Linked DNA regions of Ovis aries. The protein of the gene in region 6 purifies or fractionates together with the protein of the main gene of each other region. This does not show direct contact. Links are inferred from orthologs where the notes say so. Each region holds a gene or a part of one and is shown on either strand. Other genes may lie near its edges.

What was found.
Region 1: the proteins of PPP1CC (region 6) and EIF2AK4 purify together in Homo sapiens (affinity purification with mass spectrometry; 3 studies listed by BioGRID and IntAct, counting the BioPlex papers as one, with this or other methods). This does not show direct contact. The link is inferred for Ovis aries from reciprocal best matches to the Homo sapiens genes PPP1CC and EIF2AK4.
Region 2: the proteins of PPP1CC (region 6) and PEAK1 purify together in Homo sapiens (affinity purification with mass spectrometry; 6 studies listed by BioGRID and IntAct, counting the BioPlex papers as one, with this or other methods). This does not show direct contact. The link is inferred for Ovis aries from reciprocal best matches to the Homo sapiens genes PPP1CC and PEAK1.
Region 3: the proteins of PPP1CC (region 6) and RRP1B purify together in Homo sapiens (affinity purification with mass spectrometry; 7 studies listed by BioGRID and IntAct, counting the BioPlex papers as one, with this or other methods). This does not show direct contact. The link is inferred for Ovis aries from reciprocal best matches to the Homo sapiens genes PPP1CC and RRP1B.
Region 4: the proteins of PPP1CC (region 6) and UXT purify together in Homo sapiens (affinity purification with mass spectrometry; 4 studies listed by BioGRID and IntAct, counting the BioPlex papers as one, with this or other methods). This does not show direct contact. The link is inferred for Ovis aries from reciprocal best matches to the Homo sapiens genes PPP1CC and UXT.
Region 5: the proteins of PPP1CC (region 6) and HDAC1 purify together in Homo sapiens (affinity purification with western blotting; 4 studies listed by BioGRID, with this or other methods). This does not show direct contact. The link is inferred for Ovis aries from reciprocal best matches to the Homo sapiens genes PPP1CC and HDAC1.
Region 7: the proteins of PPP1CC (region 6) and KIF18A purify together in Homo sapiens (affinity purification with mass spectrometry; 4 studies listed by BioGRID and IntAct, counting the BioPlex papers as one, with this or other methods). This does not show direct contact. The link is inferred for Ovis aries from reciprocal best matches to the Homo sapiens genes PPP1CC and KIF18A.

What each region holds. Positions count from the first base shown.
Region 1 is NC_056060.1:33,800,389-33,804,429, reverse strand, and holds the start of EIF2AK4 (eIF-2-alpha kinase GCN2), read right to left. Parts: upstream 2,801-4,041; 5' UTR 2,740-2,800; coding exon 2,596-2,739; intron 1-2,595. UniProt on the Homo sapiens protein: Metabolic-stress sensing protein kinase that phosphorylates the alpha subunit of eukaryotic translation initiation factor 2 (EIF2S1/eIF-2-alpha) in response to low amino acid availability.
Region 2 is NC_056071.1:30,021,288-30,024,787, reverse strand, and holds part of PEAK1 (inactive tyrosine-protein kinase PEAK1), read left to right. Parts: intron 1-370; coding exon 371-1,531; 3' UTR 1,532-3,500. UniProt on the Homo sapiens protein: Probable catalytically inactive kinase. Scaffolding protein that regulates the cytoskeleton to control cell spreading and migration by modulating focal adhesion dynamics. Acts as a scaffold for mediating EGFR signaling.
Region 3 is NC_056054.1:264,416,695-264,420,194, reverse strand, and holds part of RRP1B (ribosomal RNA processing protein 1 homolog B), read right to left. Parts: intron 3,089-3,500; coding exon 3,006-3,088; intron 3,000-3,005; exon of another isoform or gene 2,937-2,999; coding exon of another isoform or gene 2,883-2,936; intron 1,546-2,882; coding exon 1,488-1,545; intron 307-1,487; coding exon 221-306; intron 1-220. UniProt on the Homo sapiens protein: Positively regulates DNA damage-induced apoptosis by acting as a transcriptional coactivator of proapoptotic target genes of the transcriptional activator E2F1.
Region 4 is NC_056080.1:57,175,278-57,177,441, reverse strand, and holds the end of UXT (protein UXT), read right to left. Parts: exon of another isoform or gene 876-2,164; coding exon 752-875; 3' UTR 597-751; coding exon of another isoform or gene 546-596; 3' UTR 501-545; downstream 1-500. UniProt on the Homo sapiens protein: Involved in gene transcription regulation. Acts in concert with the corepressor URI1 to regulate androgen receptor AR-mediated transcription. Together with URI1, associates with chromatin to the NKX3-1 promoter region.
Region 5 is NC_056055.1:235,235,998-235,239,497, forward strand, and holds part of HDAC1 (histone deacetylase 1), read right to left. Parts: intron 2,576-3,500; coding exon 2,501-2,575; intron 802-2,500; coding exon 663-801; intron 206-662; coding exon 64-205; intron 1-63. UniProt on the Homo sapiens protein: Histone deacetylase that catalyzes the deacetylation of lysine residues on the N-terminal part of the core histones (H2A, H2B, H3 and H4).
Region 6 is NC_056070.1:54,611,194-54,615,361, forward strand, and holds the start of PPP1CC (serine/threonine-protein phosphatase PP1-gamma catalytic subunit), read right to left. Parts: upstream 2,801-4,168; 5' UTR 2,605-2,800; coding exon 2,550-2,604; intron 1-2,549. UniProt on the Homo sapiens protein: Protein phosphatase that associates with over 200 regulatory proteins to form highly specific holoenzymes which dephosphorylate hundreds of biological targets.
Region 7 is NC_056068.1:57,559,651-57,563,863, reverse strand, and holds the start of KIF18A (kinesin-like protein KIF18A), read left to right. Parts: upstream 1-1,413; 5' UTR 1,414-1,484; intron 1,485-4,213.

The DNA.
Region 1 (4,041 bases), on a different chromosome or scaffold from region 6:
AGGAAATCCTATTTTAAACTAGCAATGAGTGTCCAAAATTTAGTATGTAAGACAATTTTTAGCATGTATTCCCAAAATGTTTCTTTATTAATGATATATATATATGCTACTAAACGAAACTATACCTCATAATACATCTCCCAAAAAGAGTTTAAAAAACTTCAGATGTTTAAGAAATTAAAGTTTACTCAGGTCAATAATCTTGAGCTGAATTTACTGGCAGCAAATTTGGCCTGAACTGACATGAGGCTATTAATAGTCTTTATACATCCCATTGAGGGTGAACACGAACCTTCACATGTTTCACTGTGCTTGATTCTGGATGCTGCTCCAGACATTGAGGGAAAGAAAGTGAAGCTGCTCAGTCGTGTCCCACTCTTTGCAAGCCCATGGACTGTAGCCTACCCTGCTCCTCCGTCCATGGAATTTTCCAGGCAAGAGTACTGGAGTGGGTTGCCATTTCCTTTTCCGGGGGATCTTCCTGACCCAGGGATCAAACTCGGTCTTCCGCATTGCAGGCAGACGCTTTACCATCTGAGCCGCCAGGGAAGCCACTGAGGGAGGTACTAGATAAGCATGGAATGTGCACACATGGCCACGAACACAAACACTTCCAGTTCTGAAACCCATCAAGCCTCAGGGATTGGATAAAGGATTGTGGACTTGAATAACCTTCCCCTAAAGACCGGCAAGTAAAAAGTACCTGTTGAATGATTACATTCTTTTAACTTTTTAAAACTTTTTTTAATTGAAGTATAGTTGATTTACAATGTTGTGTTAATTCCTGCTGTACAGCCGAGTGACTCAGTTATACACATATATACACTCTTTATATTCTTTTCCATTATGTTTTATCCCAGGATACTGAATAGAGTTCCCTGTGCTATATAGGAGGATTTTGTTGTTTATCCATTCTATATGTAATAGTTTGCATCTACTAACCCCAAACTCCTAGTTTATCCATTCCCCCTCCCCTCCCTCTTGGCAACCACAAGTCTGTTCTCCATGTTGAATGACTACCTTCTGATTCATCCTTATAACTACCAATTAGCTGCTTGTGGGGCCTAGCAAAGTGTTAAGGATATTTGCCCATGTACCTCAGGGTACAGCTATCTGAATTCTTCTACCTGCCTCTTACACTCTTGGTTTTATTTACTATACTATCTTGTTATAAAGGCTACCAGCCATAAATTGAGATTATCAGTATCCCCACAAGCAGTTCCTTGTTCTTTTCTGTTTTCTTGCAGTCTTAGGACCAGATAATTAAGCTGTGTAAACTAAATACACTGTCTCTGAATGAAGTCTTAGGAGCTTTGTATTGAGTCCCAATGTACACTTTGTGACACATTTTAGTTACACTTCCTGGTTCTCAAGGGAACTGAGAAGTTACCAGATCACCAGAAAGTTACCTTATTCTTTTATTATAAGCATGTATGAAGGTGAAAGTGAAGTTGCTCAGTCTTGCTGACTCTTTGCGACCCCCTGGATGGCAGCCTGCACCAAGCTCCTCCATCCATGGGATTTTCAAGGCAAGAGTACTGGAGTGGGTTGCCATTTCCTTCTCCTAAGTATGTATAAGGGGAATATTAACATTTCTACTATTTCAGTCTTAATTCTTGAAATTAAGTACTAGGAAAGTAAGCTCCCTGAAGGATGAGGGTTTGGTTTGGTTTGTGCTGGACTATATTCTGAATACCTAGAACAATAAATAGTTAAGGAAGGAACACATTGGGTGAGAGAGAGAATGTTTTGCCCTGACAGCTCCAGAAGATCCTAGATATTGAGCAAATCCTGCATGTGCTGATAAAGTGCATGTTGTAAAAAGCCAAGACTTAAAGGCAGATGAAGAAAGGTACTACTTTAAAAAAAATACTATAGATAACAATAGTTTGGTAGATAATGCTTCAAGGATGAGGGAAAAAAACTGGATCAGCAGCTTAAAATGTGCCTTATTTCCAGACAAAAAGGAAACTATTTTAGCCAAATGCCATTTTAAAAGGTTTGGACTCAGCACACTCCCTCTTCATTACAGCTAAGAAGAATATATTCCACACTCTTGAAGGACAGGCACAGAGGAAAGTTCCTCCACACCGCACAACACAGTGAGGACGCCCGAGGGGTACAGCGTAATTACACGGCTAACAGTCCTGAACACATACCGGAGGGTGAGACTTCTGATTAAGGACATCAATAAGATCTGTGCAAGAGCCCTCAAAGCGTTCCCAAAGTTGCAATGGGTCCCCATGAATGCGCTGTCTATCAAACCCAAGGAGACAAGACAGTAAGGAGGCAGGTATGTTATGGAACGTCAGGGGGAATAAGAAGCAAGGCCAGGTAAGACGGGAGCCGATTTAGGAGAAACGCTGTAAGAGAACTTGTCCCAGGCAGGGGTTCTGAAGACCCGCCGTGCGGCTGCGGGTGCAAGGACAAGAAGTGAGCGCGGGTGGATCGTAAGGGATGAAAGGGATCCAGAATCCGAAGTGGGTGTCGGGTGTTCGCTTCCGGCAAGGCCGGGCGGGCCTAGCCGGGGTAGATCGCGCCAAGGGAGGCTGGGCCGCAGCACGCCAGCCCCGACCAGACATGCCAAGTTCCTACCCGTCCGCGCGCGTCCGGCCGCAGGTCCTGGAAGTCGGCGCCATAGATGGCCTCCAGGGCCTGCAGCTCGTGGTCCTGTCGTTGCGGGTAGCTCTCCGGCGGTTCGTCCCGGCCACGCCCGGGGGCCCCGCGGCCCCCGGCCATAGCAGTCCTGTGAGCCTGGAAGAACGGCCTGGCGGTAGCTGGTGGGCCCAGGCTCCACTCCGGGGGTGGGATCGTGGGCGGGGCTTCTAGCCGGGGCGGGCCTTCTAGCCGGGGCGGGCCTGGGGCGAGTCTCCGAACCGGAGGCGGGGTCAGGGATGAGGTTAGGGGCTCTACGCTAGCGAGAAAGACCCGAGCTGGAGCTCCACGCCCGCAGTGGGCGTGTGGGCAGGGCGCTGAGTCCCGGGCCCGGTCAGAGTTGGGGTGGGTCCCTCCGGCACGAAGACTAGTATTGCTGTGTGCTCAGTCGTGTCCGACTCTTTGCGACCCCATGGACTGTAGCCCACCAGGCTCCTCTGTCCGTGGGATTCTCCAGACAAGAATACTGGAGTGGGTTGCCATTTCCTTCTCCAGGCTAGTCCTGTTAGCGCGCTAACAGCAGTGGTGTGTGAGCGAACCTGCGGGAGTTTGGCCTACATTTTTCCGGGGGAATCTGAGCGGAGGAACTTGCAGGAACAAGAGAGATCAGATGAATCAGAATGGAATGATAATGCCAAAGGGTATGGTTTTCACGAAATAAGTCTCTAACAGAAGTGGCTGTCGGAACTCCTTTACTCTTGCAACGGTAAGAGACGAAACAAGAGTCAGACTTTGATGGATTTCCCAGAAGCTTTGACTCACCTTAAACCTTCCCAGAAGACGACCAGGAGTAAAAATTGTGACCAATACTCCTTCGCCCCTGTTTTATACCCTCACACTCGTCCCCTTAATCATAGATTCAACATCGTAGTGCATGTTCTTTGTTCCTATCTGCCCACCCTGTACCACCGTGCAGTTTAAACTGAAAAATGTTGCTCTACTCAGACATGAGCAACGTTCCCAGGAAGAGAATTATATTGCTTGTCCAGTTTGCTTGATGCAAATTTAAGAGGTCTCTCTGTTGTGTGCTGTCGCCAATCATATTTTTACAAGTTTATAAAATAACCTATCTACCTGGACCTTGTCATTGCGTTTCATCTTCAGTTGGCTACTAACGCTGCATATTGATTTAGAATAATCATATCATATTACCTCAAGTTAGATGTAAGTGACATTTCCTTCTGTCTACCTTGCTTACCCATATGTGTGTTGTGTTAAGTCGCTTCGGTCGTGTCCGACTCTGTGACCCTACGGACTGTAGCGCACCAGGCTCCTCTGTCCATGGGAATCTCCAGGCAAGAATATTGAAGTGGGTTGCCATTTACTCCTCCAGGGAATATTCCCTACCCAGGGATTGCATCCACGTCCATCTCTTATGTCTCTTGC
Region 2 (3,500 bases), on a different chromosome or scaffold from region 6:
GCATGGCAACCCACTCCAGTATTCTTTCCTGGAGAATCCCATGAACAGAGGAGCCTGGCGGGCTACAGTCCATAGGGTCACAAAGATTCAGACACAACTGAAGCAACTTAGCACACACGCACACATAAGGACTAGAGGTAATACACATGATGGATTAAGCATGAAGACACTGTTTCTTGAAACTCAACACAGGGTCACCAAAACCCTTTCTGGAAAACTCAATTCTAGTGCTGTATCTTCACTGCAACACTGTTGCTGTCGCTACTCCAGACTCCTACCAGTCACCTTCTAGTTAACCCCTCTTTACGAATCATGAGCCTTGTTCTGATAGTGTGCATTTTAAATTGTGTTCTTTGCTTTCTTCCTTCAGATCTGTAAGAGCAAAGCTAAAGAATCACAGCAATATTATCACAGCTTGGCTATCCGGCAGAGTCTGGCTGTCCACTTTAACATCCAGCAGGACTGCGGTCACTTCCTTGCTGAAGTTCCTAAGCGCCTGCTTCCCTGGGAGGATCCCGATGCCCCCGAAGAGGAAGAGGATGACATGGAAGCAACAGAAGAGGTGAAAGGGGAAGCTGATGGGAAGGACCCAGACCTGGGCTCCGAAGCAGAGTCGTCCCACAAAGAAAGCCAGGCAGTCGTCAGCAGGAAGCAGAGAAGCCACGTTGTGGTCATCACCAGAGAGGTTCCGTGTCTCACAGTGGCCGACTTTGTGCGAGACTCCCTGGCGCAGCATGGGAAAAGCCCGGATGCGTACGAGAGGCAAGTGTGTCTGCTGCTTCTGCAGCTGTGCTCGGGCCTGGAGCACCTCAAACCCTACCATGTCACCCACTGCGATCTGCGTCTGGAGAACCTGCTGCTCGTCCACTACCAGCCTGGGGGGCCCACCCAGGGCCTGGGGCCTGCAGAGCCCAGCCCCACCCCGTCCTGTCCCACGAGGCTCATCGTCAGCAACTTCTCCCAGGCCAAGCAGAAGAGCCATTTGGTAGATCCTGAGATCCTCCGGGACCAGTCCCGCCTCGCCCCGGAGATCATCACGGCCACGCAATATAAAAAGTGCGACGAGTTCCAGACAGGCATCCTCATCTATGAAATGCTGCACCTGCCCAACCCCTTCGATGAGAACCCAGAGCTGAAGGAGAAGGAGTACACCCGGGCCGACCTGCCCCGCATCCCGCTCCGCTCCCCCTATTCCCGGGGCCTGCAGCAGCTGGCCAGCTGCCTCCTAAATCCCAACCCTTCTGAGCGGATCCTCATTTCAGATGCCAAAGGCATCCTCCAGTGTCTGCTCTGGGGCCCCCGGGAAGATCTCTTCCAGACTTTCACCGCCTCCCCCAGCCCCGCTCACAGGAACACCCTGCTCCAGAACTGGCTAGACATCAAGCGCACACTGCTCATGATCAAGTTTGCCGAGAAGTCCCTGGACCGGGAGGGTGGCATCAGCCTGGAGGACTGGCTTTGTGCTCAGTATCTGGCTTTTGCCACTCCGGACTCTCTCAGCTGTGTTGTGAAAATCCTGCAGCCCCGTTAATATGTCCCAGTCACTGGTCTTACTTCATGTGTCACCTTCTTCAAGTTGCCCACACACTTCCCCCTCCTGGTATTCATACAGAATTCAAGGAAAGAAGAGAGACAAGCCTTCCCTCCCCATCCAAGTCCAGTGAGACGCTGAGTCCATCTTAACATTAGGGAAAGTCAGCCGCACATATGTGCAGCTGCCATTCATGGGAACACCTTCCGCCCTAACTGTCCCCAAGTGCAGGAAATATGAAGATGCATCCTTGAAGTGACAGCTCCTCTGGTTTGAACTCCATGAGCTGGGTCAAGTTCCTCCGGAACTCTGAGTATCACCTGTCTTTTTAACATCATGTATTTATTCTCACTAGCAATAGACAGATTTAACCAGTACTTACCATCATCTACTAAACTTTCACAACAGACTTTTTTCCTTTAAAGGATCAATAATGGGCCCTCTTACCAGGCAGAACTGCCATCCTTAGCATCAGCCCAGTTTTGGTTCTGGGAGTTGCATCCTTTGTTCTAGCAGAGGGTAGAAGGACAAGAAGAGAGCATCCATCCTTAGGGTCATGCACCCATTTGGTTTCCATTATCAGTAAGTGTGTGCACTGTGTGGAGGACGGCCCTAAGTCTCCCCTCGTGCTGCCACTGCCTGAACCTCCTTCACCTTGGTTCTGTCCCCACTTGCCAGTGAAGTTTGGGTGTATCAGCCCATGACAGAGCTGACCCAAGGTGGTATCACCAGGGCCCCAGGAGGGCAGAGTGCAGATCTTACAAATAACTAGCAGGACATAAGGAGATGGTGTTCCTGCACGTGCCGTTCTCTAGGGGCCATCAGGGGAACAGAGTTTAAAGGACAGTTCTTTGATTACTGTCAGAGCTGTCAGCCTCGGCAGCCAGGGCTACCAGTACCCAGATCACAGTTTTCCCCTGAGCCGTAATTGGCCAGCCTCCTTCTATCAGCAGCCAGTGTTAACTAGTCTACCAAATGCTGTAGACAACAGCTCTGCATGGAAATGGCTATCCTTTGAGCTGTAACAACTCCCTCAAGGGCACAGTGTGGCTGGCTGTTAGGATGGCCAGAAGGCAGAGGAAGGGGAGAAGGCCACTGACGAGACCGCCAACCTCCGCCTCGCAATGCCCACGTTGTCTAGAGAGACTGCCTCCCAGCTGCCCAGGCACATTGCTCCCGGTGACTCAGAAACACCACTGAGGGCAGCTCATGGGGAGTTTGGATTGCTGAGGTGGGTGGCCGAGAGCACCCTGCCTGGGGTCTGTGCTCCCCTCCTACGGATACATGTGCAATTTTTGTATGTATTTTTTTTAGCTGTATGTACAGTGTCTATGTTGCAACTTCACCTGAAGCAATATCCACAGAATATCCCCTTCTTCCCTTGGCACATATTTGCGCTGAGACGAGTGTCCCTTCCACCCACAGTGTGTGTGTGTGTGTGTGTGTGTGTGTGTGTGTGTGTTATTCAAAACTGTGAGTCTCTGTTCTGTTTACTTCAACTTTGAAATCCCAAGAGTCGCTCAGACAGTGTGAGTGTGTGTACACGCGTATACCCATGTGTGTGCACATGCCTGCTGGAAGTAGAGGCCAGGCCTCTGGGGGAGCAACCTGTGGCAAGGTTGACAGACACATCCTCTGCCTGGTGGGCAAGATGGCCCTGGGCCCCGCATCAGCCGATGCAGAGCTTGTTAAAGCCAAGCCTGATTGTGCAGTATTATTTAGATAGCACGTTAGTGGCCTTTTGGTAATTTCTAAACTTTTAACATTATTAACCACCTTTCATGTGATTCACCTATATCAAAGAGGATCAAGAAAGGAGAAGAATGTATTTTATCGTGCTCTTCTTTGCTTCATTTTCTTATTTTTTGAGAGAATGGGAGTCATGAGGCCCATCTGGGGGATGCCCTGTCCTCCCGGCCAGCAGGTCAGGACTTCCAGGGAGGAGAGCTGGTTGGCCCACACAGAGTCC
Region 3 (3,500 bases), on a different chromosome or scaffold from region 6:
CAGCTACAGCCTGGATCCTCAAAGTGGAAAGTTCCTACACTAACAGATTAGCTTCTAGATCAAACACTTAACCAAGGAGCCCCAGACTCTGACAGCTGGAAGCGAGAAAACTGATGTCTCCGAACACGTCCTCTGGTGCCCCCTGCTGGTCACCTTATGACGCACACAGCCGCCTCCCCGACCCCGAGCTGCCCGTCAGGGGCTGTGGCCCCACCCTCACCATGTGGTATTTGTCCAGACGGAGCCTTTCGATGCCCGGCCACTCGCGATTCACGGTCTGCCAGAAGGTCTGGATGAACAAGTGCTCTGCAGGGAACAAGAGGCTCTGAGCGCTCCATTCGCAGGGTGCCGTGTCACCACAGAACAAGAAAGGTCACGAAGGGCAACAGACTAGGATTTCTCAAGGGTTCTTGGGCAGCTAGAAAATCTCGTTGGTAACTAAGAATGCTCGATAATTTTTTATATTTAAATAAAAGCTTATTTTGACAAGAAGTGGTAATATCTTAATGTTTGACTAGAAAGCTCTCCGGAGCATGTTTCATTATCCATTGAAAAGCCATGATTCTGTTAAAAATCAAAAAATGTCCTGAGCCAGAGATACTGGTCCTTCTTGTCCAAATACACTGAACAATCAGCCCTAAGCCATCCATCTGATGGCACCTGGGGGACCCATGCAGAGAGTTAGCTTTCTGTTTTCATGTTCAGCGTCAGCTGAGTGAACTTTAATAAAACACTGTTTTTCTCTTCGGAGCCATGAAACCAGCACTTTTTATCCCAAAACGGTTTGTTTTTTGCTTTACTTCCTTTTGCACAATTTTCTCTTGATATATGAAAAGCTACAGTATATTCCATGTACAGAATTTTGATCCTTACGAGTCAGCTGGGAGCCTGCTAAAATCCAGAGAATCACTGAGCGTTAACAAGGCCATTGGATAGTTCTGTTCTGAGGGCTGAGCAAAAGCAGTGAATTCTGCCTTCTCTGCTTCTGTAAGTAATCAAAGCTGAATGTCTCAGAAATATTAATAATTAACTTCTCCCTTTGTTTATTCGTTTTGGTCAAGAGGGGTTACTTTACAGTTTGTTACCAGTGATGACCTGAAATGGCTCTAGTCCCAAGGACAACCAGCATCCAGAGGTAACCGTGGCACCACACAGTCACACACAGCTTCTGAGAGCATTAAAGTAACTCAGAATGTGGAAACTCTGGAGGACTGTTATTTTTTTTGACTCTTTTGAAACCTCTGAGACGCCGAATGTGATGCCCTTTGTTCACCCTCTCACTGTGTATCTAGGCCTGACACAGGTTCCCCATGGGACAGTCTGTCACCTGACATTCACACTCCCGGTGCCCAGGCTCATGTGACGCTAGCCCCCCTGAAAATAGAAACTTTGAAGGAAGGAGAAGAAACAACATTGAGTAGCTTTCTTAGGCAAGTTACCAAATCTGATGAGCAGGTTTTGAAAGTCACGAAAATATCAGGACTTACGAGCCTCTGAGTTGTTAACAACATGGATGAGTTGGGAAATAGTGTTCGCTAGCTCCTCCTGCAAAGTGGGGTTGGGGAAAAACAGCGGGGTTATTACGTGGAACCATGAGAGGACAGCATCACGGCCTGTGGGAAGGGGTCAGCCCCTCCATTCTCACTGTCACCTCCACTAAGAAGGGTGTATCTGAACACCTGGATTGCATTACATGTGAAATGCTGTTTCAACGGACTATTGTGCCAACTCAACATGCCTTCAGAACTAGGCTGTGTGCTCACACACGCTATGCCTAGGGTGAGTTCAACTGACGCACACAAGAAACATCAGCTCTCAACTCCTGGCTTTCAACATATAACTTGGGTTGAGATTCCATCCGAATTCCCCCAAATAATGGAAACGCAGATGCCAACTGCGACGAGGGGGCGTCGCTGGCAGTGAGATACCGGACTGTCACTCCATGTGGCTCCTGTTGGCTTGCTGGCAGACAGGCAGCAGCGGCAAGGCAGCAGAAAGCAAAAGAGCCATCCTACTGAGGTGCACAAGCTTGTCTGGGGGAGAACTCAGGCTCTGGGTCTATGAAGAAACCTGCCTCTGGGAGTGTCCACAGAAGAAGAATAATCCTCACCGCTATCATGGGGCCTTCACCTAGACTCAAGTCTTTCTCACCCATGTTAAATGAACCCCGGACTTGAAAGTGATGTTCCCATTCATCTGTTTCCTTCCTCCACTAAAGCTGTTGGTTGTCACTTTGAATGTAACTTAAAAATATTTTGCTCTGCTGTCCTACTCAAAACATGTTCAGTGGAGTAAAGGCATGAAATCAAAGTGAGTCACTACAGGGCTCAGGGGAAGCGGAATAGCTGCAGGTAAAAGCCAGACAAGTAAAAACCTACCCTGGCATTTTGTACATCAGGGGGCTTCAAACAGCGCCCCCAAAGCTGACCCTATCCTGCTACAAAGACAGGCCTGTTTCACACACCAGAAAAGAGCTCTTCAAGAGCTTAAACCACTTTCTCTGATAGTTCTGGCGGCAGGGCTTGGTGTGCTCGGCAGACAGGGGTTCAGGTGAGTGCACACACCTGGGCAGGTCTCCACTGCCATTGTGATGAGACCATCAGCTCCAGGATCACTGCTCATTCTACAAAGACTCTGCCCCACTTAACTGTGGCAGAGCTGGGCCCAGAGCCGGGTAGCTCTTAGACTAGCGTTTTGCTATTTTTGACCACAAATAATAAAGGAGGAAACAGAAACTTTATAATGTAAAACCTACCATGGAACCTATGAAACTGTGACAGAGAAATAACAAATCTAATTTATGTGTCTTTGTTTGTCTTTGAAAAGATTTCACTTCAATGCCTGCACCCCTTTCTCTATGGACAAGTGGTGGGAAAGTGAACCTTTGAAGCAATGGTTTTCCATCTGTTTCCGTACATCAGGGATGGATACAGCATAAAGCGGGCAGGTCTCTCATTCACCGGTGCCCCGTGTCCAGCAACATGACACAGGGAACTGTAGGTTACCTGCAGAAGTGGTTCATTCTGCACCCACATGCAATAGAACAGCCCTTTCCAGATTTTTAGAAGTTCTTCTTGGCTGAAACCTCCTAAAAGGCAAAAGACCAGAAAAGTCTTATTTCAGAACCTACACGCTTCCTCCGTAAGTTTAGAGCTGCCACAGAAGCAGTGAGAATAATACTGAGTACATTTTCACTTTTACTTGTAAATGTCTTTTTTATTTGAAGCATACATTTTCTTGCTGTTACAAAACAAAGACATAAATGCTTTAGTTTTGTCAGCTATGGGGCAGGGCGGTGGCGGTAGAGTGTTCTCACAATCTGAGTAGCATAGGAAAGCAAATGTCATCCACACACAGAATTAACTAATTTAGTTCACGAGTCATTTAGGAGTTCCCTCAAGTGGTCCTCTGCCTGAAATTAGCACCTCCCCCCCAGCCCCCACCCACCGGCAACACCACCATTGTCACTGGTCTAGCCAAGTTAGACCGAAAATCCTGCA
Region 4 (2,164 bases), on a different chromosome or scaffold from region 6:
ACAGGCGGAACCTGGCTTTGCATGGATTGGCAGAAGCTGCACTCAACCTAGAATAGAGACCAGACCAGGGAGGGCGGGATCAGCCCTAGACCCATTGCTGGAAGCTGGAACTACTTAGCGGCTGGGGCAAGGCCAAGGTTGAGCCTAGATGGGCGTGAGTGTAATTTAAGGTACCTGAGGAACGACTGGGGTGTGGGAGAAAGGTAAACCTTCCCGCCAGGAGTGAAAGGCTGAATTGCTTTGGGGAGCAAACCTCCACCATGAATCGGCCCATTCTCTGGTAATTCATAGTAGTGTACACGAAAAGAAATGTGTCAAGTGGGGGCCCAGGTTGCCAAGGCAACAGTAGAGCGGGCACAGAAGTCAAATAGCAGGACTTCAGTGGTGCATTAATGGTCCCACACAGACCGGATTTCTGGGCCTCCTAGTACTTTGTGCTTTAGAAACAGGGCACTTTAGCAAACAGTAGGGGTTAAGGGGGGAAAGAAGGGCCGTGTGACTCAAAGACATTCAGGCTCTTTAATGTCAGGGGAGGTAGGAAGAAGTCAGTGCTGAGTCTCTGGGAAATTCTGCAGACCTTGTAGCTCTCTAAGCCCCTGAAAAAGAGAATATAAGAGACTGAACAGAGACTGGGTCCAGGCCCCATCCCAGGCTTGCTCAGAACTCTCTTCCCTCCGAGCCAGCCTGGCTCTAGTTTGACTCCAGTTTAGAGGAAAATATGGTCCTTCCCATCTCTGGCTCTCTCTCGTTCTCAGGTCACCACCCTAAACATTTGGAGATAGAGTCTGGGAATGGAGTGAGCTACTCTCACCTCTAGCAACATGTGGATATGGGCCTTGATATTCATGGAGTCCTTGGTGAGGCTGTCGCTGAGCCTGGAGAAAAGAAACAAGAAAGGTGAAGTGGGCAGGAGGATTATGCTTCTTCATCACTTCAAGAACTACCTACATTATGTATGACTTCCACACGGTAGGTGGTAGGACATCCTACTACCTGAGCTGCTCCTATGCAGAGATGCCTGGCTGCCATCTGGACTGCACTGATTCAGAGACATTTATTGAGTGCCTACTCTACACCAGGTCGTTTTAGGTACTGGGAGATAGCAGCAAACAGAGCAAACAAAAATCTTGGCCTTGTGGAACTCAAATTCTCATTATGGGGAACAAATGATGGGAATAAAATATGCAGTATGTCAGATGGTTATAAGTACAAGGAAAAAATTAAATGTTAAGAGAGAATAACGAGTGCAGGAGTGGGGGTTGTAATTCTAATTAGAGTGCTTAGGGATGGCTTCACCGAGAAGCGCGTTTGAGTAAAGACTTAAAATGAAGAAGCGTATTGGAGGATGGAGGATGAGTGTTCCAGACACAAGGGGCAGCAAACGCAGAGGCTCTGAGGTGGGAGTGCACCTGGCATGTCTGAGGTACAGCAGAGAGGCCAGCAGGACTGGAGAAGGATCAGTGAAGGGGGTTTGTAGAAGGTGAGGTCACAGAGGTAAGCAGGGGAGAAAGATCATGTAAGACCTACCAGGCCATGGTAAGGACTCTGGCTTTTATTCTAAGTGAGATGGGAGCCAGAGGAGGATTGTGATCAGAGAAGGGATGTGAAATGACTAGGGTTTACGAGGATCCATCTGGCTGCTATGTGGAGAACTGACTGGGGATAAGGACAGCTAGTGTGGAAGAGGAAGTCCAGTGAGGAGGCAGTCCAGGTGAGAGAAGCAGACTCAGACCACAGTGGCAGCAGTTGAGGTGATGAGAAATGACTAGATTTGGGATACATTTTGAAGGTAAAGTCAACAGGATTTACCAAAGGAGGGTGTTGGGTGTGAGAAAGAGAACTCAAGGTAAAGACACCAAGGCCTAAGTGACTGGGAAGCAAGAGTTGCCTGAAACTATGCTGGCTCTGGGCTGTTGAGTTACATGAAAGAAAAAAAGTGGAAGTGTTAGTTGCTCAGTCATGTCGGACTCTTTGCAACCCCGTGGACTGGGGCTCACCAGGCTCTTCCATCCATGGAATTCTCCAGGCAAGAATCCTGGAGCAGGTTGCCATTTCCATGAACCAGTCACTTTTTTCTCTCTATGCCAACTGGCACCAGTCTCACCCAAAGAATCCTAATTCACCCAAAGGATCAAGGAAGGCCTTTGAAGAATGAGTAAAACAG
Region 5 (3,500 bases), on a different chromosome or scaffold from region 6:
AGACAGGAGAGTTAGAGCTGGCAGCTGAGGGTGAGCTGGCTGGCCCCTGAAGGGAGTTCTCACCCGTAGGTCCCCAGTTCCTGGGAAGTACTCTCCATATTTATGAAAGGACACAGTCATGACTCGGTCTGTGGTATAGAAGGCCTCTTCCACGCCATCGCCGTGGTGAATATCAATGTCAATATACAGCACCCTCTGGTGATACCTAGGATCAGAAGGGGGTCAGGGGGTTCTGGGGGCTCTTTGGGAATGGGACGCGCCAAGGGCGCCAGGGCCCAGCTTACCGGGCTGGCTGCCTCCCTCAGGTATCTCTAAGCACCAGAGACGTGGAAACTGGCTGAAGGAAGGTGGAAGAGCGGCAGGGTGTCTCCAGAGGCCTGACCAAGCCGACCAAGTCCGATCTTCCTACTCTACAGCCAGGGTCAACTCCAGCCACACAGGGACATTCTGGAGGCAGGATCTGAGCAGCACCTGCCCCTGATCTTGCCGTGGGCTCAGATCCAATCAAGGCCTCGTCAAGGAGAGGATGGCCAGAGACACTCACCAAACACATCCTAGCCGGCACGCCGCTAGGAAAGGCAAACTAGGGAGGCAAGCCCGGGGGAGAGGGAGTGGGGACCTGGCCTAAGGTGCTCCTCCGAGACAAGGCCAGGCAGGCATACTTTAGCAGTTCCAGGATGGCCAAGACGATATCATTGACGTAACAGAAGCCAGATGCCTCGGACTTCTTTGCATGGTGTAGGCCCCCAGCCCAATTCACAGCGATGTCCGTCTGCTGCTTATTAAGTTTCACGGCACTTGCTGGGCACCGGAAGAAAGAACACAAGCCTGTCACAAAGTCCCTCTCTCTCCTTTCCCCAAAAAACCATGGGAACCCAGTGAGAGATAGGACCTGCCTATTTAACAGGTGAACTGTACAATTCACCAGCTAGCCCTCTCCCTCTGTCTACTCCAATGGGAATAAACACAACATTGGCTACTCTAGAAAACCTGTTTTCCAAACTGAAAGTGGTAAAACTCACTAATAGGCCTTAAAATTGGTTTAGTGGGCTATGGTTAGTGTGTATATATATATATATATATATATATTTTTTTTTTTTTTTTTAATGAGATAGACTATAGAATAAAAATAGCAGAGTTAACAGTAAAGGTAACCACTCTTTTGTGAAACTAGCTGCAGAGCAAGAGAGGATGTGTGTGTGCGAGTGTGTCCATAACCAGGATTTTAAGTGTAAATGTATTTCTTACTGTGGTTCATGGTCAAAATATTTTGAAGATACCAAATGTAGCAGACAGAGGCTTGAAGTACAAATAGGCCCAAGAAGAAGTGCGAGAAAAATACACACCATGTGTGCAAATGCCTTTGCGGCAGTATGACTTTAAGAGCGATAAGAACATGAGGGATCCCCTGGCAGTGCAGTGGTTAGGACTCCATGCTTCCACTGCCAAGGGCTCAAGTTCAGTCCCTGGCCAGGGAACTAAGATAGATCCTTCAAGCTGCATGGTGTAGAAAAAACAAAAACCAAAAAAACACCAACACAGAGCAACTTGAGTGGACTAATTATATCAACTGAGGTTGGTCCATAACATAGAATAATCATGTAGCCACTAGATACCATGCTAAACCTTATTACAGCTAAATTTCAAAGATTTACTAAGTAGGGACTTCCCTGGCAGCTCAGTGGTTAGACTCCACACTTTCACTGCCACGGGCCCAGGTTTAATCCCTAGTTCAGGAACTAAGATACTGCAAGCCACATGGCATGACCGGAAAAAAAAAAAAAAAAAGATTTACTAAGTAAAAAATGTAGTAGGGAGGCACAAAACTATACATACACATTTTTGTAAAATATAGATGAGTATACGTTTTGTCTGGATACGTGCACAAAGAAAAAAGCATGGATGTACAAACACCAAAATGGTGATGACGGTTATCCATGACAGTGTGATTGCAGTCAGTTTTTTTCCTCTGTATACTTCTTTGTTTTCTGAGATTATATTGTGAGGTGGTAGGGAGAGGCAAGGAGAAAAAACAATGATCACAGAAAAATAAATATTTGTTAAGAAATGGTAGAGTGATCCCAGAGATAACATAGATATTAATGGAAGTGGGAGATACGCGGGAAGTGTTTCTGACCTCTAAATGTAATTACCATGCTCTTTTGTAAGACACAGATGATGACACTTCCTATTTTTACAGCACTTTGCAGTTCACAAATTACTTTTATGTTCAGCATCTCAACAACCCCATGAGGTCTGCAGGGAGTTCCTGTATACAGGATGTCTTAGTAGGAAAGGACAGGCTAGGACACATATCTATACTATGTCAGATTGAACCTGGCCTCAGACTGAAGCAGAATAACATTTTAAGGACCTAACATAAAAACCCACCCAGGACCATTTTACATGGTCACAGGTCAGCCTCACTAGGACAGTGGCCTAAAAGACAGACCTCATTGGTACAGCCCAGAATAGCCCTTATGAAGGGTATATTCCTTACCCACAGAGCCACCAGTAGACAGCTGACAGAACTCAAACAGGCCATCAAATACCGGACAGTCCTCACCGACGTTGACTTGAAAAAACACGAAAAGGTTAGTTTCCACAATTTCCTTTTGGTTTTGTTTACATTATTTATGAGCTGATGGAAAAAACACAGCATTTGGATTCAGAAGGTTCTTGCCCAGGCCCTCCTGCTTACTGACTGTGGGACTGGGTCTAGTCATTTAATTTCCTTGAGCTTTGGCTCATTATCTTTAACAAGCAACAATGATATCCACCTCACCTAATTCTTGAGAAGATTAATAGAAACCATACATGGGGAAGCATTCAGCAAGTAAGTACTCAGAAAATGTTGTTTCACTCCTGAGGGAGAAAAATTTGGCCTCTTATTCCAGCCTGGGTTTGTTCCTGGATCTTACTCCAGCGGGTCAACAAGCAAGCAAAGAACAGAGGGCTATACTATCCTCCATTGATGCTTAACAACATGCTGGTCACCATGCTAAGTGCTTTAAATACTTGGTGTCATCTATGCTCACACAACTTTCTGAGGTAGGATTTGGTCCTGTTTTTTTTTTTGGTCCTGTTTTATAAGTGGGGAAACAGGCTCAAAGAGGTAACTGCCAGTAAATGGCAGAGGCAGTATTCAAGGATTGGTCTGTCCGTCCTAAAAGCCCACGAAAATGTACTCTGGTCTTTTCCCCAGTAATTTCACATACATAATCTCGAATCTGCCTAACAACTCCATAAAAGATGGACAGGACCAATATCAACCCCACTGTGCAGAGGAACAGTGCAGATGTGAAGTTAACTGACTTGCCCAAGGCTATATAACCAAGCAGTGAGTGGTAGAACCAGAGTCCAGGTGTCTTGACTCCCACAGTTCAGTGCTCTTTCTACTACAACAAGTGACAATTGGAGGAAAGTTATTTCAGGCCTAAAAGGGTAAAAGTACAAACTAACACATAATGTGGAAACACATGCAAACAGTAATGCAAATA
Region 6 (4,168 bases):
TTTAGAGTAGCAAATAACTGCAAAGCTGTAGTGACTAAAACCTAAAGCAAGACGTTTCATTAGATAAGACTTCACTTTTGAATGGTCTTTTTAGTACTATCACTGAGCTACTTCTCAACTAGCTTGTATAGTCCTCCACCTTAGACAATTCTGAAAATGTAAAAAATTCTAAAAAGGTCATAAAACTCACATTCCCTCCATCTTCAGATATACTTAAATCTTAATGAAAATTTTTAGAGGAAAAACTTTGTGAGGCATTAAAAAAAAAAAAATCACAAAACTTATCAACATCTTCTACCCTGGAAAGATATACATATATATCTTCAATAGATCATTTTCAATAGTTTCTCTGCCAATCTAACATTGACGAGAAAAAAAAAAAAAAAACAAACGTTAAGAATGTTGAGCAGCTAGTTTATTCCCGAGGACTGAAAATGCACTGCTGTACTAATTTCAATGAAAAAAAATGAAATGTTAAAAAAACCTGGTTTTCCAGCACAACATAACATGTATAGAAACTATTAAGAAATAATGACTGATCTCACTGTAAATGATCCAGGTTAATCAACGCAAATTCCTTAGCACAATTTAAAAAATAAGATTAAAATTAACAAGATGTTATATGAATATAAAAGTTATGGGCAACCCCACAATTAAGACCTAACTAATCTTAAAATTCTGTTTCTAATCCACAGCTTCCATTTTTTCCAGCTTTCTCAAAGAAATAAAGCCACACATGTCCCTGCATAGACATGCAGAATTTACAATTTTTGAATGAAAAAAATTTAAGTTCTTTTCCTACAGCAAATTGTTTTAATCCGTTTCTGACCCACTGCTGTCTCACATAAACCAAAGAACTATATCAACTAATATTAAAAGTGTGATTCCTCTAATAAACGGCAGATACTGAATGAACAAGGTTTTCACCCACAAATGGCAGTGACATTTCAGGGGCTCATTTAACGAGTTTTTGTTTTGAGACACTATAAAAGGAAAAAAACCTTAACAGAGATTAAGAAAAGATGAAGTTTCATTCTCATGACTTAAAAGATCTGTAAATTCTAACATCAGAGCTGTCCAACTGTTTAGGCTCGACTCCATCTCTGAGCATTTACAGTCCAACAATATTTTAGAATATAAAGGCAAAAATGCAGTTAAAACTCAGCCAAATCTACATTATCCAACACTCAAGAAAAGGATCTGAATTCTTTCAAAGTTAGGAATTAGACGTTATTATTAATAGATGTGCTCTAGAATTCAGGGGTGGTGGGTGATTTTATTTCAGTGTCTCTCCTTAAAATCCGAACTTCATCCCTCTCCCATCCCACATCAATAGAAATCAATCGCAAGACACCTCAGGAGTTTTAGGTCAGTCAAAACTGAAGATTTATTTTAACCTTTGCTCAACCACTGGACACCTTCCTTCACACATAGGGTGACTTGAATGACGTTGAATTCCTGGCTGCCTGGGTTTGAAACTTGACTGTCACTAACTGGTTAAGTGACTACACTTCTCTGGGTCTTAGTCAGGAAAAAAAGGCATCTACCTGGTGTATTACATGAAATCTGTGTAAGGAGCTCCAAAAAATGCCTTACACACAGTAAGCGCTTTAGAAGCATGGCTAATATGATTTTTGCGACACACGCAAAGTACTGGAGACAACTCATTAGAAAAGACCCTGATGCTGGGAAAGACTGAAAGCAGGAGAAGCGGACGAGATGGTTGGGTTGGATGGTATCACCGACTCAACGGACATGAGTTTAAGCAAGCTCCGGGAGATGGTGAAGGACAGGGAAACCTGGCACGCTGAAGTCCATAGGATCGAAAAGTCGGATGCGACTAAAAGACAGCAAAATGCAGTCAGTGAACGCAAAGCGCTTAACAGAGCTTGGCACATTGGAAAGATCCTAACGAAACTGTCATCACTGCCGGTTTCACGATTCAGAGGCAGGTTCAGAAAAGAGCGCGGAGACTTCCCCGGGATAAAGACAACTTAAAAAGAATATCTGGGAGGGTAGAAGAAGACAGGTTCCAACATCTCTCTGAGAATGAACGTTCGTTACCGAGTAACAAGTAACTGGGCCCCCGACCCCAAGCCTCACAAAAAAATAAAAATAAGCAGGCTAGGAAAGAAGCCCTCAAGCTTGGTGAAATCCATATCCGCATCTTATTGCTTTCCAAAAGATTGAGAACCACGAAGTTCGGAAAGAGCAGTCCAGTAGGTTGGACTGGGGCCCCCAATATTCTCCAAAGATTGGTCCGGAGTGCCGGGCGCACGGGGGTACGTACCGGAAACGTGGGGGTGGGGAGCGGAGTTTTCAAATTTCACGGCCAGGAGAAAGGCTGCACCCTCAAGCAATGAATGAGCGGAGCCAGGAGGGTCCGCAGGTTGGGCCAAGCGCGGAACGCCGGGCAACCTCCCTCCCGCGGCAGTCCCCGGCCCGCGGGCGAACTCGCGGGGCTCACTCGTCTCGGCGCAGCAAGCCCAACAGGCCTCCCAAATCCCCCTCCCCCGCGAGTCTCCGGAGCCGCCCGCCGCCCCCTTCACCTTCCAGCAGCCGTTGGATGATGCTGTCGATGTTGAGTTTATCTATATCCGCCATCGCCTTCCCACCGCCGACCTTCCCGCAGCGGCGCCGCCGCCGGCTCGCGCCCGGGATTCACACCTCCTTTCCCACGCCACGGGCACAGAGATGGTGGTGGTGGCGGCGGTGGCAGAAGCCGCGGTGGGTTCCCCCCAACCGCCCCGCTCCCTGCTTCCTCCTTCTCTCCCCACTGGAACCACGAGAAGAACAAAATGGCCGCCGACTCCTTAGCCAGCCTCGGGCGGCGCACGAATGCGCGCGGGGGAGTGCAGCGGTCCGGCCGGGACTTCTTTGTGGGCCATAGGGCACCCGGGAGGGGGCGGGGCCAGGGAGATTGAAGGAGGCGGGGCCAGAACGCGGGAATGGGAAGGAGACGGTTGAGCGTAAATGCGCTCGCGCGCGGAATCCTTCCGCCAAACGGGCCGAGCAAATAGGCCCCCTGGCGGGAGCGTGAGTTGCAAAGTTGAACGCGGGAGTTGGGGATGGGGGAGAAGATGCATCTGTGCACTCGAGGGTTGCGGGCTCCGCAGGACACTGTTCACTGCGGCCAAGTGTTTGCAGACCTGGCCATGTGAAAAGCCCACGGAGGGAATTTGGGTGTCCTGGAATTTCCCCTTAAGATAAATCTGTGGTAGAGGTGAACAGTGAAATAGGTTGACTCTTTTTGGCTTCAAATTTGCTAGAATTTAGGGGGGAGGGAAAGATACATTTGATGGTTAATTTAAAAAGTCCTCTCCCAGATAAATAAAAATGTTAGGTTATTCTTTCTGAGTGGTGGAAATATGGGTATTTGTATGCACATTTTTGTGCACTCTGTAACTTACATTTGGGGAAAAAAATTCTTTTTAATCTACCCTCAAAAAAATTTCATCATCTCTCTCTGGATTATCTTTCTTGAACTCGCGAAGTTATATAATCATCGGAACGGTTTACCCTGATTCCGGCCAGAGCGAAGATGAGCGAGCGTGTGCAGCAGATAAAGGAGAATTTGCAGGTTTGCGGTCGGGTCCCCACTTCTGCAGATACCCCTGAAAACTTTGGTCAATTTCCATCGGCTTCTCAGTCTCCACATATAATCTCTCTCCAGGAGATCCCTCCAAAATGTGCCACCTCCGGGGGCTGCGTGTCGTCTTAGCTGGGTTTGAAAGTGCAGTTACACTCAGCAAACGCATCTGCTCTTTTGGATCCTGACCTTTTCATTTAACTGCTTTTTTCCTGCAGCGCTTTACAGTTTGCAAAGCCGTTTCCCTCCCGCCAGAGAAATTAATTTTGTCTCTCAAGGCACACAAAATGCACGAATTCCCAGCCCGAAATATCGAGATCATTGTGCCACCCGGGCATCCAGTCTCAAAACCGGTGTTCCCCCCGGGGCCCAAAAGTGGTGGGGCCCAGGCTCCTTCCACATGGACCCGAGGCCTCCCTGCGGCTGGCTTGGAGGCGTTAAGGTTCAGAGATCCCACCTGCTTGGCGCAGTTGCTCACTCAGCTTTCCCCAGTCACCAACTTACCCTCCCGTGCTGTAACTCTGTTCGCAAGAAGACAAACAAGTGTCATTTGTCAGCCCAGGGCACAGAGCCCAGTTG
Region 7 (4,213 bases), on a different chromosome or scaffold from region 6:
TTAAGAGATTTTCTGAAAACTTTAGTTTTCTTTTCAGTAAAATAAATAGTATATACATCTCATGGGCTCTTTTGAAACTTGGAAGTGATTGGATAATATATATAATTAATAAAATGCCCGGGACATCAAAGGTAAAGTACCACAGAGTGAGTGCATATTTGAAATAAAATGAAAAGCCTTCTCAGTTTTACTACCAGACCCAGCACCATACAAATCACTATCTCACTAGCTAAGATCCATCTAGTACAGCCAGCAATTAACTTTATTGATGCTCTATCCAGTGCTCAGAAATAATCATATATTATGCATCATATACAATACAAAGTGCTTCTGATTTTCTTCAATAGGAAATAAATGCCTATAATATGAGGGTCTCCCCTACATTGTTCACTTATAACACTCTACATTTGGTGGTGTGCCACCCTGTATATATGGTGATGTTGAATCACTAGAACATAAGCTCCAAGAGGGCCAGGAGTTTGACTCAACTGTGTGCTATTATGTCCTTAAAATATACAATTAATAACTATTAAATGAATGGATACAACAATAGTAACATAAGAATAACAAAAATTCAGATCATACTATTAAAAATATCCTGAGAAATAAACGATGAATTCTCTTAGCAAACACATCTGCCTTTTTTTTTTCCAGATATATTTTTTTTTTCCTTTTTATAGTTACATTCTAAAATTCTAACTACAACCCAGGACTTAAAAGCCCACTGCATCCAATAATGAACTAGGCCAATAAATTTGAATAAATTTATTTTGTAATGCCATCTTAGAAAGAAATGGAGAAACAGTCATACAACAAATAGTTTCAGTCAGCAGGCACTAAGGGAATGAGCCTGGGGTTCCTGAGCAATGAAGCCTGGGCTCTCAAACCAAAAGTCCTGGACTTTCGATTAATTTAGATGAATTGACCCCAGTTTTGTCCACGTGAAAGTGGCTGGAAGGAACAGGCCCTTATAGCTTCCAGATCACGGGACCTATGCCTTGGAGGCCTCATTGCTAAATAGAGAACAGGAGAAAATAAACACCCAAAACCCATTAATCCATACCCAACAGGCTCCCCCTCTCCCCCTAGCAGAGGGCATGGCCAAGCCCTGCCCGCACTCGTCTCACTCACACCCTGAACCCAGGAACCGGGCCCGTGCCCACGGTCTGAAGGCTTCCTGAAGATCCCAGGTGTCTGCCTCCCACCTGCAGCTGCAGCCTAACCCCGCCCACCTCGGCCAACGCCTCCGGAAGCAGCCTCCGCGTTGCCACGGTGACGCGGAGTTAGGCAGCTTCTAGTGCTCCGCGCCGCTAAGACGCCTGGAGCCAATCTGCAGCGCGCCACGGCCACGTCCTGCGTGGTGACGTCACGAAGACGGAAGCCAATGAAAAGAGGCGCTGAGGAAGCTGGCTTAAGTTTGAATCTCGAGGCTGAGTTTGAATAGCCGGGTGGCGGACATTCGAGTGAAACTTTTTGAGCCTGAGGTGAGTGTAAGGCTAGAGGAGAAAACTGGTCTCGGGGGCTTTTTTTGGATGACCTATCTCGGTGGAAGCGGAGAGGTCCCGCCGCCTCAGGAATAGAGGACCCGGTGGGCTTGTTGACAAACACGGAAGCGTTAAGTGCGGCGATGGGATAGGGTTGCGGGTGGGCCTGGTTAAGGTTCCTTGGGGATAAAGTGAAAGGAAGGAACTTGAGAACGCACTAGAATGTGGCTCTGCCTGAACGAGAGTCCTCGACGGCTCAGCAGGAAGATCAGAGATCTCCTACCTGAAATTCTGAGGAAATCGGAAATTTTAAAGGGCATCCTGGCTCTTTTCCCAGACTTTGGTTGAACACTAACTGTTCAGTACCTTACAGTGCAAAGTTCCTTCAGGACTCCATATACAGAGTGTTTTGTTTTGAAGTATAGCTCTAGGCTTAACTATCAGATGAGGAGCCTTGGTTCACCAACTTGCAAGCTTTTTGTCCAGCGAGGTTCTGCTGTTAACCTGTCAAAGATCAGCTGGGAACCTTCCCCGAGCCCCAATTGTAGCATCAAGATAAAACCTGCCAGCAGTGACTAATGGGTTTGCTGAGGATCAGCCAGGCTATGGAAGAGATACTGGTAGTTGATGCTCTGCAAATGAAAAATACTTAAAGCACTGAGAATCAGTTCTTCTACCATCGTTTCTTAAGTGTCTGCGAGATTCGCCTTGAGGAGTGTTCATTAGGCACTCCGTTTCAGAGAAGTCAAGGCTGACTGCTGTTTATGACATTATTGGGCCAGAATTGAAAATTTGTGTTGTATAGTGTATAGGTTATTAATTTTTAACAACCAGGTAGGATGTGTTAGACATTCTACAGGTTTCAGTTGATAGTGTTATTCTACCATGGTCAGCGACCCCATCTCGGATTTTGGTAAATATTTATGAACTTTGTTGCCAGAGAACATGACATCCAAAGGTTAGATACTGCTTTTTATTTACTTTCTACTATTTTGTAGGAATTGTTTGTTTCAGTACACAAAGGTTACCTGCCTTTTAACGGTAGAAATTGGCACCTCTTCTATTACTAAACAAGTATTTACAAATACACAAAGTTTTCATTTTAAAATATATCTTGTTCCACTCTAAATATATCTTGAATCAATTAAGGTACCCAATAAAATGACTTTTATGCTGTCAACTCTGAAAACTAGAAGGAAAAAAATAGTCCAGATGTTAGTACTGCCCTTCCCTCCTTTCGAAATTTTCATTCTTCCTTGATGCTTGCAAATTACTAGAATCAATGGCTCTAGCACTCAAGTTATTTCCAATAAGAGGATTAAGTTACATAGAGACTGTACATGATAATGTGGAAGGTAGTTCCTGGTCCTAAAAAATGTTTATGGAATCTGCATCAAATTCAAATTTGAATTTGTATTTAAGAAATAATTTATAACTGTATTACTCCACACCTTCAAGAAAATTTATACAACACTTCTGCTCCATTTTTTGAAAGCCTTTCGTTTTGATTCCAATAGAGCATAGCTGCTAAGAACATGGATTGTAGATTTGGACCTGGATCCACATTTTGTCTTCTCATTTAATCGCATGTCATTTTGGAAAAATTCCTTATCCTAAAACTAAGTCTCTGTTTTTGTAAATTGGAGTCAGTAATAGAGTCTACTTTATATTTTAAGGATTGAATGAGATGATGAATGTCAATTGTTTATCATAATGCCTGGCATACAGAGTGTACTCAAATGACAGCCACTGTTCATTATTACTAAGTATCACCATATCCACCTAATTCCAGAGTTCTAAATCTAATAACATTTTCTGGAAGTAGATACTTATCCAACTGGCACAGAAAAATCATGAACTTCCAGTTTTGTTTCAACATTCATTGCAAGAGCCCCAGTACTAGGCCCTGAGGTTTCTATCAAAAGTGAAGATAGTTTAACTTCTTCTATCAGAAAATATCTTAGAGTTATATATTTATCTCATTATAGAGAGGATGATTAAATACTTGAACTTTAAGTTCAGTCAGTCAGAGTTCAAATTTCATGTCTTGTGCTTCCAATAATGTGACTTCAGCCAGTTAACTTAACCTCTCTGTATTACAGTTTCTCTTTATATAAAATAGGTATGATTTTGTATCATATGCTATGATATAAAATCCTATATCATAGGGTTGTTACAGAGATTAAATAAGTATGTAAATTGCTTAGCACATTTCTATTTGTAGAATAACAAGTCAGGAAAAAGTATTCCAAAGTTATTAAGAGAAACTTTGAGGTAAATTTTAATATTTTTTGGTTTTGTTTTTGAGATAAAAATACCTAGACTTGTTTAAAACCCAAAGAGTACAAAAGAATATAAGGAGAAAGTAAACCTGCTTGTCAATTATTTTCCCACATCAAGCAACTGTATTATCAATTTCTTGTGTTCTCTTCCTGAGAGAGCCCACACACATACAAGTATGTATATGTCTTTTGAAAATACAAATGGTTGAATACCATATCCACTATTCTGCATTTATTTTTTGAACACGTATCTTGAAAATCTTCATTAGTTCATTCATTCAGTTATTCAACAAGTATGTAAAAATTTCTAAATATATGACAAGCCCTTTTCTAGTTTCTGGAGTGCAGATAAAGTTCCAGTTCTCATAGTGCTTGCATTTTAGAAGGGAACTAAGCAATAAATATGTAACCAAATAATATATATTTTCCAAGTAGTTTATATTGCCA